Linked DNA regions of Macaca mulatta. The protein of the gene in region 4 purifies or fractionates together with the protein of the main gene of each other region. This does not show direct contact. Links are inferred from orthologs where the notes say so. Each region holds a gene or a part of one and is shown on either strand. Other genes may lie near its edges.

Region 1 (4,067 bases), on a different chromosome or scaffold from region 4:
CCTACCTGTGAAGATAAGTTCAGATCCAGAGAGTAAATGAGAATATGCTGATTTATGTCTGAGGCAATGCAAGACCATATACACAAGAATAAAATGATTTAAAGATAAGCAGATGTGAGTACAATTCCCTAAATCTAGTAAGAAGCTTCATTTCAGAGCGCTTTTTATCTTTCAGTACTGACTGTCCAACTGACCAACTTTGAGATCTCTTGTCAAGAGCTCCATAATAATAACCTATTACTTGCTCTGAAAATGCATTTATTAACTCAGAGTAATTATGAGTCACTAGGAAAAAGATAATCTTACATAAAAAGTTAGGCAATTAGGCCAGGCGTGGTGGCTCACGCCTATAATCCCAGCACTTTGGGAGGCCGAGGCAGGTGGATCACGAGGTCAGGAGATCGAGACCATCCTGGCTAACATGGTGAAACCCCGTCTCTACCAAAAATACAAAAAATTAGCCGGGCGTGGTGGCGGGCGCCTGTAGTCCCAGCTACTTGGGAGGCTGAGGCAGGAGAATGGCATGAACCCAGGAAGCAGAGCTTACAGTGAGCCGAGACCGCGCCGCTGTACTCCAGCCTGGGTGGCAGAGCAAGACTCCGTGTCAAAAAAAAAAGTTAAGCAATTAATTCCAAAGGACTTGAGTTCTGGCAAAAAAAAAAAAAAAGGAATTTAAAATTAAAAGTCCAACAATTTCTTACCATCTTCAAATTCTTTTTTTAAAAAAGAAAACATACATAAAAGAAAAACAACAACAAAAAGAGTAGCAATACCTGGTACAGATTAATTCAAGGCCTCTTAAAATTCACATACAACTTTTAAAAGGCCCATGCTTCTCAAGTATTCATAATCCAATGATGTCACTATTAACTTATGGTACCTCTGAAGTTTTCTAGGTGTGTTGTATTAAAAATCGCATATATTTTCACAAAAGTGTATCATTTGGCATTTAAAACATGCATCACACCCATTTTATGTTCAAAGACTTATGACCCATTACATCGGTTAAAATATTCATTCAGCTTCTCTGAGACAATTGTCCGCAACCCCAAAGCAAACAGGTTCTTAGGCAAAGGAAGCAAAAAAGTAAAGCGTGTTTTAAAACCAGCCACTGAAATATCCTACTCTCACTCATCCATGGTTGGAGAGAATCAGATTTCACTTTGCAATTCACAAACATGTCTGCTTCTCCATGTTGCTTAGCGCTTGCCAATAATGCCGTTGTCCCTGCTCAATGAAGAAGGACCCAGAGTAGAGGACCCTTCCTGTGACAAGACAACAATAAAAGGTATCTCCAAAAGAAAATATTTTAACGTGAGTCCAATTTTTAATTATAAAACATTTAAACATGTAATTTTTATATCAGATAGTACTGAAATGAACAGTGCAGAATCACAAGTCTAACAATGCAGTTGATAAAATTACTCTAAAAGCAAGACGACCGTTTCATATTTCTTTCAAATAACTCAAGTGCTTAGTCATAGTCAAATTCGTGGATTGGGTTACTCTTAAGGGAGTTGAGATCTTACTAAATAGCAGGTAGGTAATCGGTTAAATCTGTAATTCGATGCACTTGGTAATACTAAACTAAAAGATAAGTTTTAGTGTTACAGTAGAATAAAGTGCAAAATTTTTAAGTAATAATGGATGAAATTTTGATTTGAAATGTTTTCAAAACAATTCCATTCTAAAGAAAGAGGCCTAAAGGCTCCTGCACTTGTAAATAATTCTCCATGGCCAGCATAAAGTGGGTTCTATCACATCATAAAGGGAAAAAAACCCCTGCGTTTTAAGTGACCCGAAATTCTGCCACTGCTTTTTAGACTGCACAGTGGAGGAGACTATTGTTCTATGACACAGATACATTCTATTGTGACGCTCTAATGGAAAAATGCATGTTCCTAAAACCCAAACGTGAAGTTCCCACTAAAAGTGAACCAAAGCAGCTGGACATCCTATTTCTTTAAAAGCCAGACACTTCGAGTTAAGTTATACACAGCTCTTACAAGTCACACCACTCTGAAGATGGTATCTGCTATCACAATAGTTATTTCAACGACTCCAAGTCATAGCAAAACAACGCGAAGAAATATTTACAAGGAACAGGCGGCTATGTGCAGAAACTCGGCGCCCGCACACAGTTAGCCAGGACCGACGGGTAGCTAGTGACGCCAGACACGGGGGAGAAAGGATGGCAGCCAAGAACCGGGCGGCCTCAGACCACCACCGCAGCTCTCCCTCCCGACCACAACAAAAGCCAGACACCGACACACGCCCATGCTCACGACAGCCAAGGGACCCCCATTCACAACCCCGCCGCCACCCCCGCCCTAGTCCCCGGGACAGCAGGCTTAAGGCCAAGAGAGGCCCCCGGCCATAGCCTGGGCCTTGCAGCCGAGCCTGCGCCGGCTGACGCTCGGCCGGTGCAGAGAAAGCCCAGCCCGGGGTTCGGCTCACACTTATGGAGCGCTGTGAGGACGCGCGGCCAGAGCAGGCCTCGCTGAATCGGGGGCGGAGAGGGTGGACGAGACCTGATGGTGTCTCCCGAAGAACGGGGTCGACAACACGATCCACCGGGCCCGAAAGAAGGCCAGGCCCAGTCACCGCCCGCCGCGGGCAGGCCCAAACCGCAGCAGTGAGGCCAGCCTGCATGCAATCCGGGAGCCACGACCCTTTCCAGCTCAGTGGGCGGCTACTCACGGTGTTCGGTGTTAAGGAGACTGCCGGCGGGAGGCTGACGAGAGCTAGGAGACGTCAGCGGAGGAACAGAAAAGCGGAGGACGAAGCCACTACAGCCTCTCGGCGCGGCGCGGCGTCTGCTTTATAGGAGAGGGCGCAGGCGCCGAGGACCCCGGGGCGCGCGGCGTCACACAGCGGCTGGGCTGGCCGCCGAGATCGCCTGACGGCAGGCCGAAGACGGCGGGGCGGGCCCAGGCCGGGAGGCGACGAGGAGCTGCCGGGGCGGCTGGCCGGGGGGTTGGGGAACGGGAGAGCTTTCGCCTTTCCCTAGCTCTGAAAGCGCCGCGCTCTCTCATCAACTGGGTGCCGAACCCTGACTGGCCTAGAAAGGTCTTTCAGGCAGGGGCGCCCTAAGCCGAGTAAAATACCCCAGCTAAACGGCCTGGAAAAAACAAAACGGGGCGTGTGTGCGCCTATGTGTGTGTTCCTGGGAACAACAGAACGGGGCGCGCGCGCGTGTGTGTGTGTGTTCATTCCTGGGAGGGGCTGCGTGTGTGTGTACGCGCGTGTGTTCATTCCTGAGGTGTATGTGTGTGCGCGCGCGGGTGTGTGTGTGTTCATTCCTGGGGTGGGGATGGGGGGGCGCTTGTGTGTGTGTGTTTTACTACTGAACTGATACAGCTTGTCCAGCCTCCATTCTCCACAGTAACCCTCCGAGGTGAAATAGTGTTAGCCTTTTCGCCTCTGCAGTGAGGGAACAGGTTCGGAACGGTTAAGTGGCAGAGCCAGGATTTGAACATTACTCCACAGTTAGGTGCCGTTAGCCCTTATTTCCTACTATTGACTTCTAAAGAGGCTTCCGTGCCAAAAATAGCCATCGTCGTAGGGAAACCCCAAATCTAGAGAGATGGCTTCCATCTAGCAATAGGTACCCATTCCTTCACTAAACATGCTCTGAGCCCGACATGCGAGGCGTGGTGCTGGGGATTCGGCAGTGAACCAGGCAGCCAGGGCCCGGCCTGGACAGAACTCTTGTCTGGGGTGCTCCCAGGAAGGCTGTGATGAGGTCGATGGAATGAAGCCTGCAGTAAAGGAACGGGAGTAGTCTGAAAGCCCCACCCCGCTCTGCTCGGGAACGTTATTCTCCCTGTCCTAGGAGACTGGGCGCCGGGCTCGTCTAGCCAATAGGCACGTGATGGTATCCCTGACACAGGAAGACAAAAGATACTTCCACACAGGGCCCCCTGAAGAAACCGGAGACGTACAGTGCCTCTGGGATGGGACTGGGCAGGAATGCCAAGCAGCTTCTTGAGTTACCAGGTCTTTGTCTACAAGCTGTGGTATCCAGTGTCTGCCAGGTGCCACAGCTGATGACAGAAGATGAAACG
Region 2 (4,245 bases), about 47 Mb from region 4:
GCTGGGTTTGACTCCTCCCAGCTTGCCAACCCCTGGTGGAAATCAACCCACTTAGAGGAAATCCAAAGGGTAGAAACAACTAAAAATTGAAAATTCCTGTTAATGTTAGCAATGTCAAAAATCCAGGAGACCCCAGCTATTCAGGAGACTGAGGCAGGAAGATTGCTTGAGCCCAGGAGTTCCAGGCCAGCCTGGGCAACATGTGAGACCCCGTCTCTAAAACAAAACAAAACAGAAAAAGAAAAATCCAAGAGCTTGGTTTTTGTTTGTTTGTTTTTGAGACAGAGTCTCACTCTGTTGCCCAGGCTGGAGTGCAGTGGCGTAATCTCGGCTCACCGCAACCTCTGCCTCCTGGGTTCAAGCAATTCTCCTGCCTCAGCCTCCTGAGTAGTTGGGATTATGGGCATGCGCACACCACGCCCGGCTAATTTTTGTATTTTCAGTAGAGACGGGGTTTCACCTTGTTGGCCAGGCTGGTCTCCAACTCCTGACCTCAGGTGATCTGCCCGCCTCAGCCTCCCGAAGTGCTGGGATTACAGGCGTGAGCCACCACGCCCTGCCAAGGAGCTTGTTAAGTGATCAAAGGGAGAAAACAGGGTATCAGTAGATGACAGAAAAATTTTTTAGAGAACAAATTTTGCTTTAGACATCCGTCAACTTAAAGAAAGTAGAAAACTGTTTGTAATAAACTGAAATATTTGGGACTGATCTTGATGTCTGCCAAAACATGTAAGAGTGTCAAGATCAGTCCCAAATATTTCAGTTTATTATAAACAAAGACTAGTAAGTCGTCTCTACTATTGGAGAAAAAAAAAGACTGAAATGCAAAAATTCCTGAAAATGAGTAAATAGGGCAAAGATAAAATACTATATAAATGTCTCTGTCAGTTCACAAGACCTTAGCCTGGACAGTCAACGTCCAGTTAGAAATAACGTTTGAAAATTCAGTAAGAGAAAAGGAAGTCCTCTTCTGTAATACTCAGTAAATAATGTTTAAAATTAACATATCTGGGAATATGATAGTAAATAGCTCCCCCAAAAAACTGAAAAAGTTGAAAGCAGTTTTCCTGGAGACAGGAAGTGGTGAGGTAGGTAAATTATGGTTTCATTATTGGCACATAACACTTTGAACTGTGTACATGTGTGATTTTAACACAAATGTTTAAAGATTAAATTTAAGAAAATAAAGTGTGAGCAAGAACTCCATTGCTATGGCAACTCGTGCGGCAGCCGCCTCTTTGTTCTTGGGTTGTTCCTCTCTCAACCGCCCAATTCCTCCGTCCTCGAGCGGCGGCTACGCCCCCTCCAGTGTGAAAGGCTGCGTTTCCGGCCCGTGGGGCTCCAATCAAAATGGGACGCCTGCTAGCGGTAACGGCCAGCCGGAGGGACGCGAAGGCCGGGGCCCCGCCCCCGACAGTAGGGTGTGTGACGTCACTTCCGGCTTCCTTCTGTCTGCTGTCCCTGAGCACGAGCTGTGAGGGGATTCACTTGTGTGCGGAATTCCTCGGAACTATGGTGAGCCTGACCTCCCTGTCTCTTGCCCTGCCCCTGCTTCCCCGTGCTCTTGGCACCCCACTGCTTCCTCTGTCCTGCTGGGGTTGTAGGCTCCGTTTCTGGCTTTCCGGCCCGCCGCACATGGTGCGAGCCGTGGGGCGTGCGGCCTGTGCCAGGCCAGCCGGTGGAGCCCACCACGAAGGGGAGGAGTGGACCGCAAAGCCAGCGTCTCCTGCCCAGGCCTTTGCATAGTCCCGGGAGCCTAGGCCCGCGCCTCACCCCAAGCGAAGAAATTTCTAGTGTGGGACCCGCCCCGCCCTCCCTCTAGGGGCGGAGCCTGGAGCGGCGGGGCCCGAGCCACCCGAGGGTGGAAGATGGAGGCCGCGTTCCCTCGCCCGCATGGCAGGCGTCCCCTCGATGGCAAAAAACCCCTCCCTGCCTCATTCTTAGTTCCACATCGTCTTTTGTCTAGCCGTAGGTAACTGTCAGTCTCGCTGGTGTATAGTTTATACTCCTGGGGCCTTGTAAATCCGAAAAGCCATGTCGCTCTCCTACAAGTCCCTCTCTCCCACTTAAATGCCTTCTCCGATGATGGAAGCTTCATTTGTTTGAAAACATTATTGTAAATGAGTTTTCTCTTAGATATCCACTTGTAAGACAAGTGGAAGGCACCTCAGTGTATGTGTTAGAGTATTGGTACTTAAACGAAATGCCTCTTGGTTTTCTTTTTTAGGCGTCCCTTTCCCTTGCACCTGTTAACATCTTCAAGGCAGGAGCTGATGAAGAGAGAGCAGAGACAGCTCGCCTGGTAAGCCTTGTTCTAACTTTTGTTTTAAAGATAAAACTGGAGGCCAGGTGCGGTGGCTCACTCCTGTAATCCCAGTACTTTGGGAGGCCGAGTTAGGCGGATGAACTGAGGTCAGGAGTTCGAGACCAGCCTGGCCAACATGGCGAAACCCCGTTTCTACTAAAAATACAAAAATTAGTCGGGCGTGGTGACGGGCGCCTGTAATCCCAGCTACTTGGGAGCCTCAGGTAGGAAGATCGCTTGAACCCAGGAGGCGGAGGTTGCGGTGGGCTGAGATCGCACCATTGCACTCCAGCCTGGGGGACAGAGCGAGACTCTGCCTCAAAAAAAAAAAAAAGTAAATAAAGATAAAACTGTACTTGAAGACGGTAAAGTTGATTCTGATAATCTCCTTGGTTTTTACTCCAGACTTCTTTTATTGGTGCCATCGCCATTGGAGACTTGGTAAAGAGCACCTTGGGACCCAAAGGCATGGTAAGAAAAATAGAAAAGTTTTATGTTTTAATATTGTTTTAGAGCCCTTAGTGGAAATATAATTAATAACAAACATTTTAAAATGCTTTTTAATCTTTAGAACGTTTAATTATAAAAGACAAGTATGTTCTTAGTAAAAATCAGAGTCCCCAGAATCACCATCCCCAATCCTATGCCCCTCCTCAGTGACAAGTAGTGTTATAATTTGCATGTACTACTTCTAATTTTCTGTTTATGTAGAATTATGTGTACTTTATTATGTATTTTATACTCATGTAATATATACTGTTTTATAAAACATAGATACTATTTATCAATACTGTTTTGTAGCTTGGTCTTTTAAATTCCTTTCAGTGTAAGTAGATAATACTGCCTCCTCTTTAACTGTCAAATATTATCCTGTACCTTAATTATTTTATAATTTAATTATGGCTGTACTGATAGTTTCTTTCCATTGTTTTTGCAGTTAACAGTGTTGAAACAAAAACTAGTGTCTCCCTGTGCTTCTGATGTTTCTAGGGGTAGATACCACGGTTTGGTTAACATGGTGTATGTATTGAAAACATTTGATGAATGGATACCACAAAATAGCCATCCAGGGTGTTGATAACACTAGCACTGTATGAGAATACTGATTGAACCATGCATTCTTCAAGATGTACTTATATCTTAACTTGAACCAATTATGTTCCCTTTAGGACAAAATTCTTCTAAGCAGCGGACGAGATGCCTCTCTTATGGTAACCAATGATGGTGCCACTATTCTGAAAAACATTGGTGTTGACAATCCAGCAGCTAAAGTTTTAGTTGGTAAGTCTGAATATACTTTTTCACCAACCTAATAATACTATTGGTTAACATTTTTGAAATAACTTTATAAATAGGCTGTGTTGACCAATTGTACTGTCAATTGATATCCACTGGGTTTTAATTATCATTGTTAAAATACAAGCTTCAGGAGTGCCATATATTGGTGGTAAACTGTTGCATTTCAGACCTCAAAGTTCCAAAGAATTTTTTGTATGAGGAACCTTGATAAGTTTAGATTGGTAGTGAATATTTTTGGAGAATTTAGTAAGCAAAGAAGCAATTTTGAGTTAACTAATTTCTTTTTCTAGATATGTCAAGGGTTCAAGATGATGAAGTTGGTGATGGCACTACCTCTGTTACCGTTTTAGCAGCAGAATTATTAAGGGTAAGAGCAACTGAGCAACTCTGTTTTTCCTACTGTTTTTGAGTATCAGAGGTAATCAAGTCCTTACTTCCTCCATCTTTACTGTTGAGTGCTTAATAATTTTCTATTTATAACTTTTATTTTATAACTATTAATAGGAAGCAGAATCTTTAATTGCAAAAAAGATTCATCCACAGACCATCATAGCGGGTTGGAGAGAAGCCACAAAGGCTGCAAGAGAGGCACTGTTGAGTTCTGCAGTCGATCATGGGTTGGTACACCAAAGTTCTACTAT
Region 3 (4,246 bases), on a different chromosome or scaffold from region 4:
CCACGTCCGGCCAACCACAGCCCCTCTTTTAGGCCTTTTCTTATTGCAATGAGTTTTCAATGTGTCCAATGGCCGAATTGCCCAGATGTTTGGAAGCTTGATGCAAACAGAATTCAGAGCCACACAGGCACCGCTAGCAAATCCACATCTCTGATGCTGAGGGCCCCAGAATCTGTGTTTTGAACGCATTTTTCAGATGCTTTTACTGTACCTTACAACCAAGATCGGGAGAGGTATGCAAACCAAGGGCCCTGTCCCCTCCAAAGCAGCAGAGTCCAGGGGCATGAGGATGGCAAGCGAAGTGACAACATAAACACAGGTGTCTCCATCTTCAAGGATGGGAGTAGAACGGACAGGAAGGGCCGGGTCACCCCCAGAGCATTCGTCAGTTGCCAAGTCCAAAGCTAAGAAACCAGTTCATAAATGTTTTTTTATTTGCATGTTGGCTCAAGTCCTCTTTTTAAGTCCAAGGAGGCAGTCCACGTTAAGTGTGCAGGCAAAAAAGGGACAGGAAAAGCAGGCAATTTCTCCCCTGCCCTCCCGCTCTCCTTTTATCAAGCTGAGCACCTTGAGTTGCATTTGAGGAAATTAAAACTATAGGTGACAGAACCCCCTTGTATCGAATTCTTTCTTTACATTTTTTGGGTTGCTACAAGGAATCACTATATATATGTATATATGTATATATATATATATATTTTATCAGGTGGTACGTGTGGTGGCTCACACCTGTCATCCCAGCACTTTGGGAGGCCGAGGCAGGAGGATCACTTGAGGCCAGAAGTTTGAGGCTGCAGTGATCATGCCACTGCACTCCAGCCTGGGCAACAGAGTGAGACCCTGTCTCTAAAAAATTTTTTAAAAATCAACGCATGAGACAAAACTTTAACAAGAGAATAAAGAGGGTTGTAAGGTGGAGATGTGGGCAGCACTCCAACTCCACTTTCAAGTTCAGAGGCAGAAAGAGCAACTTTCTCTCCCACGCTTGTAGGGAGGGCCCGTGGGCTGTCTCTAGCCCTCACCTCACAGCTGGTCTTCTCGCTCTCCCTGTTCAGCTTCTGCTCTGGCCTCGGCCCTCAGCACCCTGAGGCTCCTGGCCTCGCCTGCCCTGGGGACTCTCTTGGGCAGGGTTGGCAACCGGGGAGTGTGCCAGAAGGCTCTCCGGGGCTTGCGAAACCACGAAAAGCGTCCAGGGGTCTGGAACCTCACTGTCTTGACCTGTTTCCGGGCCCTGGCTCCTGAAGCTGTTCCTGTGGCCCCTTGGGTAGCTGAGGCTTCAGCTTCCTGGATACCTGGGGCCCCTGCCGTCTGATTATGTGCAGCCTCTGCCCTTTGGCCAGCCCGGGCCTGTGCCCTCTGATTACCTGCACCCTGGACAGCTGGGGCCCTTTCCCTCTGGTCATGTATGGCCTCTTCCCTTCGAGGATCTGTAGCCTCTGACCCCTGGTCAGCTAGAGCCTCTTCCCTCAGGTTATCTGCACCCTGTGGCCTATGGTCAGCTGGGGCCTCTGCCCTCTGATTATCTGCAGCCTCTTCCCCATGGTTATCTGCAGCCTCTGCCCCCTGGTCAGCTGGGGCCCCTGCCCTCTGATTACCTGCAGCCTCTTCCCTCTGGTCAGCTATGGCCTCTTCCCTCTGATTATCTGCAGCCTCTTCCCTATGGTTATCTGCATCCTCTGCCCCCTGGTCAGCTGGGGCCCCTGCCCTCTGATTACCTGCAGCCTCTTCCTCCTGGTCAGCTATGGCCTCTTCCCTCTGATTATCTGCAGCCTCTTCCCCCTGATCAGCCTCGATGTCTGCCCCCCGACCTGTGGGCGCTGTCTGCTCCTTCCTGCGGCGCCTAAACGAGGCCCAGTTGATCTTGGGCCTCCATCGCCTAGGGGAGGCCTGCGGGGCACAGACATCTCCCACATTTTCCACAGGATCCCCGGGATCCCCCGGGCTGGTGCCGGAGGATACCCCTGCGCTCTCCACTGGGATGGAGGCCAGCCGGGCCTCGCCCACCCCGGGGCCCGCCCTCGGCGCCCAACCCTTCACCCTCCGCTTCAGCTTCCCCCAGGACACCTGGCTGACATACTCCCGCCACCTGTCCGCCTTGGACAGCTGAGGCCCCAGGTTGTCCTCAAACATGGGCACTGGCAGGTTGACGCGGCGGCGGGCAGGCGGCGCGGGGGGCTGCTTCTCCTGTCGCCGGAGAAATGCCTCCACCAGTTCCTCATCATCCTCGCTCTCCACGTCGCTTCCCAGGAACTTGCTGCCCAGGTAGCTGACGGGCATTTTGCGCACCTTCTTGCCCCGCCGCGGGCCCTGGCGGCTCTTGTCTCTGGAGGTCTCGAAGTCGCTGAACTCGCTGTCGCTGGCGTTGCTGCTGTCATACGTGCCCACGACCAGCCGGGGCGTAGGAGTCACCATCTGCTGCACTCTCCTCCTCACTCGGGGCTCCTTGGGCTTTTTGGGGGGCTGGGGCGGGTGCGGGGTGCTCTTCTCGATGATGCGGGCCACGTCCTCCAGGGTGCGGCCCTGTTCTTCCAGGAACTGGGTCAGCCGCTCCCGAAATTCTGCTTCCTTGGTGGCAGGCTTAGAGATGACTCTCCAGACGCCCCCGGCCAGCCTGACCTCCCGGGGGATGAGCAAATAGTCGACGTCCTCCCCGATCTGCAGCATCCCCACCGTGGAGTCCTCCTCCTTGCGGAACACCTTGCCGATCTTCTTAAATGTTCCCACGGGTTTTAGGGCTTCCACGAGGACGTCCAAATCCACATCTTTGCAGACATCGGGGACGCTCCAAAGAATGAGGCAGTCGGGGGACGGGAGGAAGCCCCAGGGGAACCAGCCCCCCACGTGGCTTTTCTCGAGAGTCTTTAAGATCTCCAGGGTGATATCTGGGGTGAGGGAGCAAAGAGCCCCAACAAACTACTGTAGCCCTTAGTCTTGAGGGAGGGACTGGATGGGGGGAGTCCCAGCAACGCTGACCGCAGAGTCTCACCTCCCCAGCCAGGGACGAGTCAACGCCTCCAATCTCTTCTCCTGCAACAAGTCCAGTCTTGACCAAGTCCGGCTCCTCCACCAAGGACTTGGGAGAATCAATTTCCAGGATGCCTACGTGAGCCGGAGGCGAGGTCAGTCCCAAGGTTCAAGGCCCACTCCAAGCTGGAAACGTGGTGTCCCAGCTCCAAGTTGGGGCGCGCGGGCTGCCAGCGATTCTTCCTGCCCCAGGCCCCTGGGACGCGGTTGGAACTTGGGAGAGGACTTCGCAGACAAAGACGGTCCAGTCGAGGCTATTCAATATGGCGGAGGCGCTGAGAGGCCTCAGCCCGGCCCCCCAGTAGGGTCCCCCGCCCCCAGGCAGGCCACCACCCAGCTCCAGGCTGACCTTGACGCGCCGCAGCCTGCCAGCCCGCGCGCTTAGGGCTCTGCACGGTGGAGCGCACCAGCAGGAAGTTCCTCCTTGCCCTCCGCCAGAATGAGGCCCACCTTCCCCCGTCTCATCTTACACTCCCAGACTCTGGAAGACTGACAGGGGGGCTGTCCACTCCCTTCGGGGCAGCCTCCTTCCCCTCCCCCACAGGGGTGTGGCCGCGCCTGGGGCCTAGCTGGGCCCATTGCTTCCCAGCGAAGCGGCGGTGGCCCACGTCAGCACCTTTGCTGAAAGGCAGCGGTTCCCAAACCTGCCATCCGAAATGTACAAGTTTCCAGCCAAGTCCTGGAGGTGGGTGTGCCAGTGGATTCTACCTTTTGAGAGCCACTGGCACCATAGATTAGCATTTTAAATTCACGCGACTATCCGTACCCGTACACCCAGACGCGTGGGTAGAGAAATGGGTACCGGGATCTTATTGCAACAGTCCCCCTGTGACGCTTGGCAGGAGGTCAGGGCTCTACATATTTTTGAGTGGATGAATAAACCTGAATGTTCATAGCCAGGCGCGGTGGCTCATGCCTGTAATCCCAGCACTTTGGGAGGCCTAGGCGGGTGGAACACTTGGAGGCCAGGAGTTCGAGACCAGCCTGGCCAACATGGTGAAACCCTCGTCTCTACAAAAAATACAAAAATTAGCCGGGTGTGGTGGTGTGCGTGTGTAGTCCCAGCTACACGGGAGGCTGAGGCAGGAGAATGGCATGAACCCGGGAGGTGGAGGTTGCAGAGATGGCGCCACTGCACTCCAGCCTGGGCAACAGAGGGAGACTCTGTCTCAAAAAAACAAAAACAAAACAAACAAACAAACAAAAAAAGCCAAAAAACAAA
Region 4 (4,087 bases):
AGGGAAGGGATATATATATATATATATATATACACACACACACACACACACATACACACACATAAAAATAAAATTACAAATTGTGTTATGGATTATGATGAGAAGTACAGGATGCTGTGAGAATGAATAACAGGGATACCTGATGTTTCTTGAGTGGAGGTTGGAAGATTAAGTGAAATGTGAGTTAAGATATGAAAGATGTGTAGGAGTTAACCAGGTCAAGGTGGGGGGGGAACTTCCGGCTGAGGGAATTCAGGTGCAAAGAAAACATTTTTAAGTGGAATGCCATCGTATGTCACTTTCTTTCCCATCTTAAAGCCCTTGGATTTCCTTCTGGAAATCTCTCTCCTAAGATCTGACCTTCCCTTGGCTGGTTTCTCTTTCGGATTTTATTTTATTTTATTTTTTATTTTTTTCATAGGTTTTTTTGGGAAGAGGTGGTATTTGGTTACATGAGTAAGTTCTTTAGTGGTGATTTGTGAGATTTTGGTGCACCCATCACCCAAGCAGTAGACACCGAACCCAAGTTATAGTCTTTTATCCCTCCCCACCTTCCCACTCTCCCTTCTCCCCCGTCTCCCGTTCCCAAAGTCCACTGTGTCATTCTTATGCCTTTGCATCCTCGTAGTTTAGCTCCCACTTATGAGTGAGAACATATGATGTTTAGTTTTCCATTCCTGAGTTACTTCGCTTAGAATAATAGTATCCAACCCCATCCAGGTTGCTACGAATGCCGTGAATTTATTCCTTTTTATGGCTGAGTAGTATTCCACCATATGTATATACCAGTTTCTTTATCCACCCATTGATTCTCTTTTACATTTTAATTCAAATAACATCTTAAAGAGACTTTCACTATCAATCCTTACTCCCCTTACCTTACCTTATTTTGTTTTCTTCCTAATACCTATCACTGATTCAAATGTTCATATTTCTTTGTTTAAAGTCTCCCTTCCCACTTAAACGCATGCTCCCAGACGTCAGGGTTTTTTGTTTTGTTTTGCAGATTTAAATGCTGAATTCTCGGTGCCTGGCATATAGTAGTCGCTCAATGCATGTTTGTTGAATGAAGGAACAATGCTCGGCGCAAAGTCAGAGCTTAGCAAAAGTGATAGGCAGGAGAGCTGACCGGCTGAAGAGCAGCTGCGTAGACCTCCGCCTGGGCACCACAAGCCAGACCACCACTTGCGCACAGGGGCAGCGCGGAGGGCGTGGCGGGGGCGTGGCCGCCCACCCGGAACCCTAGAGCTGCGGCAACAGCGGCTTCCGGCCGCGGCGGACACTTCCGTGGAAGGGACTGTCCCGTGGCACCCGGTGGAACCGAGGAGAACGTGGAGCGCCGGGAGCAGTGAATATGGACGACTGCAGCCTGGATGAGTTCCGTCGGCGCTGGCAGGAGGAGCTGGCGCAGGCCCAGGCGCCGAGGAAGCGGCGACGGCCCGAGGCTGCCGAGAGGTGGGCTCGGCGGCCGGAGGTGGTCCCCGGGCGCGGCGAACAGGCCTCGGGGGACCCGGCGCTGGCCCAGGGTCTCCTGGAGGGCGCGGGGAGGCCCCCGGCAGCGCGGGCGACTCGGACCGAGGGGCAGGACGTGGCGAGCCGCTCCCGTTCTCCTCTGGCCCGCGAGGGTGCCGGGGGCGGGGAGCAGCTGGTGGACCAGCTCATCCGCGACCTGGTGAGTGGCCGTCGCCTCCCCCACCCCGCCCCCCGATGCCTGCGCCGGCCCCCGCCCCCAGGACAAACCCCTGCAGTGATTTGGAGAGTAACTCTGTGCCATCAGTTGCCCGAGAAAATGAGTAGACGCACAAACACCGATGTTTGTGCGTGCATAGGGTCTTTCTGGAAGCAGCGCTTCTCAACCAGGGCGATTTTGTTCCCCCAGGTGTGTCAGTGTCTGCAGACATTTTTGGGTGCCTCATCGGGGTGTGTTTGTGTGCATGTTACTGAGCATCTAGTGGTTAGAGGCCAGAGATGCTCGTGAACATCCTACAATGAACAGGACAGCACGCACAAAAAATTATCCAGGCCAAAATGTCAGTAAGTGTGGGGTTGAGAAACCTGCTCTTGAAAGCTACCTAAACTTTGAACAAAGGTTGCCTTTGAAAAGGAGGACCCAGGTAATGGATAGGAAGGAATTTTGCCTTTTCTTTGTATACTGTTTGCACTATTTAATTTTTGCAACCGTGCAAAAAAATTAACTCAGAAAAGAGGAAGAGGAGGAAGAATCTCTTGGGCACTTTAATTAGGATAGAGTTTATCTTTTTGTGGGGCATGGATCCCTTGGAGAATATGGAGGAAGCTGGGGACCCTCTGTCCGTTAAAAATAACCACCTTCAAAAAGTTGGGAAAATCAAGAACAGCTGAAATGCATCCGTGGCTCACAGGTTAAGCGGACAAGGCACCAGGTTCTAATGGTTTGATTTAAATTAGGCCCAAAGGAAGTTTCTACAGCTTTCCAGTTGGGAACCCACTTTTTTTTTTTCTGTTTTTTTTTTTTTTTGAGACAGGGTCTTGCCCTGTTGCCCAGGCTACAGTGTAGTGTTGCACTCCTGGCCCACTGCAGCCTCAAATTGCCTGGCTCAAGCCATCCTCTTCCCTCAGCATCCCGCGTAGCTGGAAGTACACGCATGCACCACCACACTCAGCTAATTTTTAAAATTTTTTTGGTAGAGACAAGGTCTCCCTGTATTGCCCAGTCCGGTCTCAAACTCCTGAGCTCAAGTGATCCTCCCAATTGAGAATAATAATAATTTTTTTTTTTTTTTTTTTGAGACTGAGTCTTGCTCTGTCGCCCAGGCTGGAGTGCAGTGGCGCGATATCGGCTTACTGCAAGCTCCGTCTCCCAGGTTCACCCCATTCTCCTGCCTCAGCCTCCCCAGTAGCTGGGACTACAGGCGCCCGCCACCACTCCCGGCTAATTTCTTTTTGTATTTTTAGTAGAGACGGGGTTTCACTGTGTTAGCCAGGATGGTCTCGATCACTTGACCTCGTGATCCGCCTGCCTCGGCTTCCCAAAGTGCTGGGATTACAGGCATGAGCCACCGCGCCCGGCCGAGAATAATTCTTTTTTTTTTTTTTTTTTTTTTTTTTTGTTTTTGAGACAGAGTCTCGCTCTGCCGCCCAGGCTGGAGTGCAGTGGCGTGATCTTGGCTCACTGCAAGCTCCGCCTCCCGGGTTCACGCCATTCTCCTGCCTCAGCCTCCCGAGTAGCTGGGACTACAGGCGCCCGCCACCTCGCCCGGCTAGATTTTTTTTGTATTTTTTAGTAGAGACGGGGTTTCACCGTGTCAGCCAGGATGGTCTCGATCTCCTGACCTCGTGATCCGCCCGTCTCGGCCTCCCAAAGTGCTGGGGAGAATAATTCTTTAAGTGGCAAACTTTCAAGAAATAACGGCTTATTTCATGTAATGTGTAGTTTACTCAAATAGCATTAATAGCTCCTATTTGAGTTTTTACCAAGTGTTTAGTCCTGTGCTCTGCCCTAATTCGAATGTAACAATCCTGTGAGGTAGATTTTAACTCTTCTTTTACAAATGAAGAAACTCAGAGATTCTCTGTAACTTGCCCAGCGTTACCCCAGCTGATAGATTCTGGGGATTGAATTTGGATCCAGGTCTTTTCAATTCCAAGTTTCACCACGTGCACTTGAGTTTGCGTAAGAATCCCTTCAGGCTTTGTTATAATAAAGTTCTGGACCCTCCCCAGACCTGCTAATTCCCTCACCAGGGAAGGGGTCCTGAAATCGGATGACTGGCATGATCAGGCAAGTTTCAGACATTATACTCTACTGTATAGCCTCCTTTGCTTTAAGGTCCTGATTCTCAAGGCTTTCCATTTGTAACACCTTAGAGGTATAGGCATTGATGCCAAAAATAGTAAAGAAGTAAATCAAGTACAGTTGACCTTTGAACAACAGGGGGGTTAGGGAAACTGACCTCCTTGCAGTAAAAAATCTGCATGTAACTTTTGACTCTCCCAGAACTTAACTACTGTTGACCAGAAGCCTTAGAGGTAACAGTCAGATAACGCATATTTTGTATTTTATGTGTGTTACATACTGTAGCCTTACAATAAAGTAAGCTTGAGGAGA

Evidence for each region. Proteins that work in one complex are often made in the same cells at the same time.
Region 1: the proteins of FBXW8 (region 4) and SKP1 purify together in Homo sapiens (affinity purification with western blotting; 14 studies listed by BioGRID and IntAct, with this or other methods). This does not show direct contact. The link is inferred for Macaca mulatta from reciprocal best matches to the Homo sapiens genes FBXW8 and SKP1.
Region 2: the proteins of FBXW8 (region 4) and CCT2 purify together in Homo sapiens (co-immunoprecipitation; 3 studies listed by BioGRID and IntAct, with this or other methods). This does not show direct contact. The link is inferred for Macaca mulatta from reciprocal best matches to the Homo sapiens genes FBXW8 and CCT2.
Region 3: the proteins of FBXW8 (region 4) and CCDC8 purify together in Homo sapiens (affinity purification with mass spectrometry; 3 studies listed by BioGRID and IntAct, with this or other methods). This does not show direct contact. The link is inferred for Macaca mulatta from reciprocal best matches to the Homo sapiens genes FBXW8 and CCDC8.

What each region holds. Positions count from the first base shown.
Region 1 is NC_133411.1:143,076,123-143,080,189, forward strand, and holds the start of SKP1 (S-phase kinase-associated protein 1), read right to left. Parts: upstream 2,801-4,067; 5' UTR 2,701-2,800; exon of another isoform or gene 2,532-2,700; intron 1-2,531. UniProt on the Homo sapiens protein: Essential component of the SCF (SKP1-CUL1-F-box protein) ubiquitin ligase complex, which mediates the ubiquitination of proteins involved in cell cycle progression, signal transduction and transcription.
Region 2 is NC_133416.1:76,712,768-76,717,012, forward strand, and holds the start of CCT2 (T-complex protein 1 subunit beta), read left to right. Parts: upstream 1-1,445; 5' UTR 1,446-1,512; coding exon 1,513-1,515; intron 1,516-2,227; coding exon 2,228-2,302; intron 2,303-2,710; coding exon 2,711-2,776; intron 2,777-3,474; coding exon 3,475-3,586; intron 3,587-3,894; coding exon 3,895-3,971; intron 3,972-4,108; coding exon 4,109-4,221; intron 4,222-4,245. UniProt on the Homo sapiens protein: Component of the chaperonin-containing T-complex (TRiC), a molecular chaperone complex that assists the folding of actin, tubulin and other proteins upon ATP hydrolysis.
Region 3 is NC_133424.1:58,899,860-58,904,105, forward strand, and holds the start of CCDC8 (coiled-coil domain-containing protein 8), read right to left. Parts: upstream 2,801-4,246; 5' UTR 2,665-2,800; coding exon 1,024-2,664; 3' UTR 840-1,023; exon of another isoform or gene 413-839; intron 1-412. UniProt on the Homo sapiens protein: Core component of the 3M complex, a complex required to regulate microtubule dynamics and genome integrity. It is unclear how the 3M complex regulates microtubules, it could act by controlling the level of a microtubule stabilizer.
Region 4 is NC_133416.1:124,175,956-124,180,042, forward strand, and holds the start of FBXW8 (F-box/WD repeat-containing protein 8), read left to right. Parts: upstream 1-1,281; 5' UTR 1,282-1,354; coding exon 1,355-1,672; intron 1,673-3,982; exon of another isoform or gene 3,983-4,087. UniProt on the Homo sapiens protein: Substrate-recognition component of the Cul7-RING(FBXW8) ubiquitin ligase complex, which mediates the ubiquitination and subsequent proteasomal degradation of target proteins.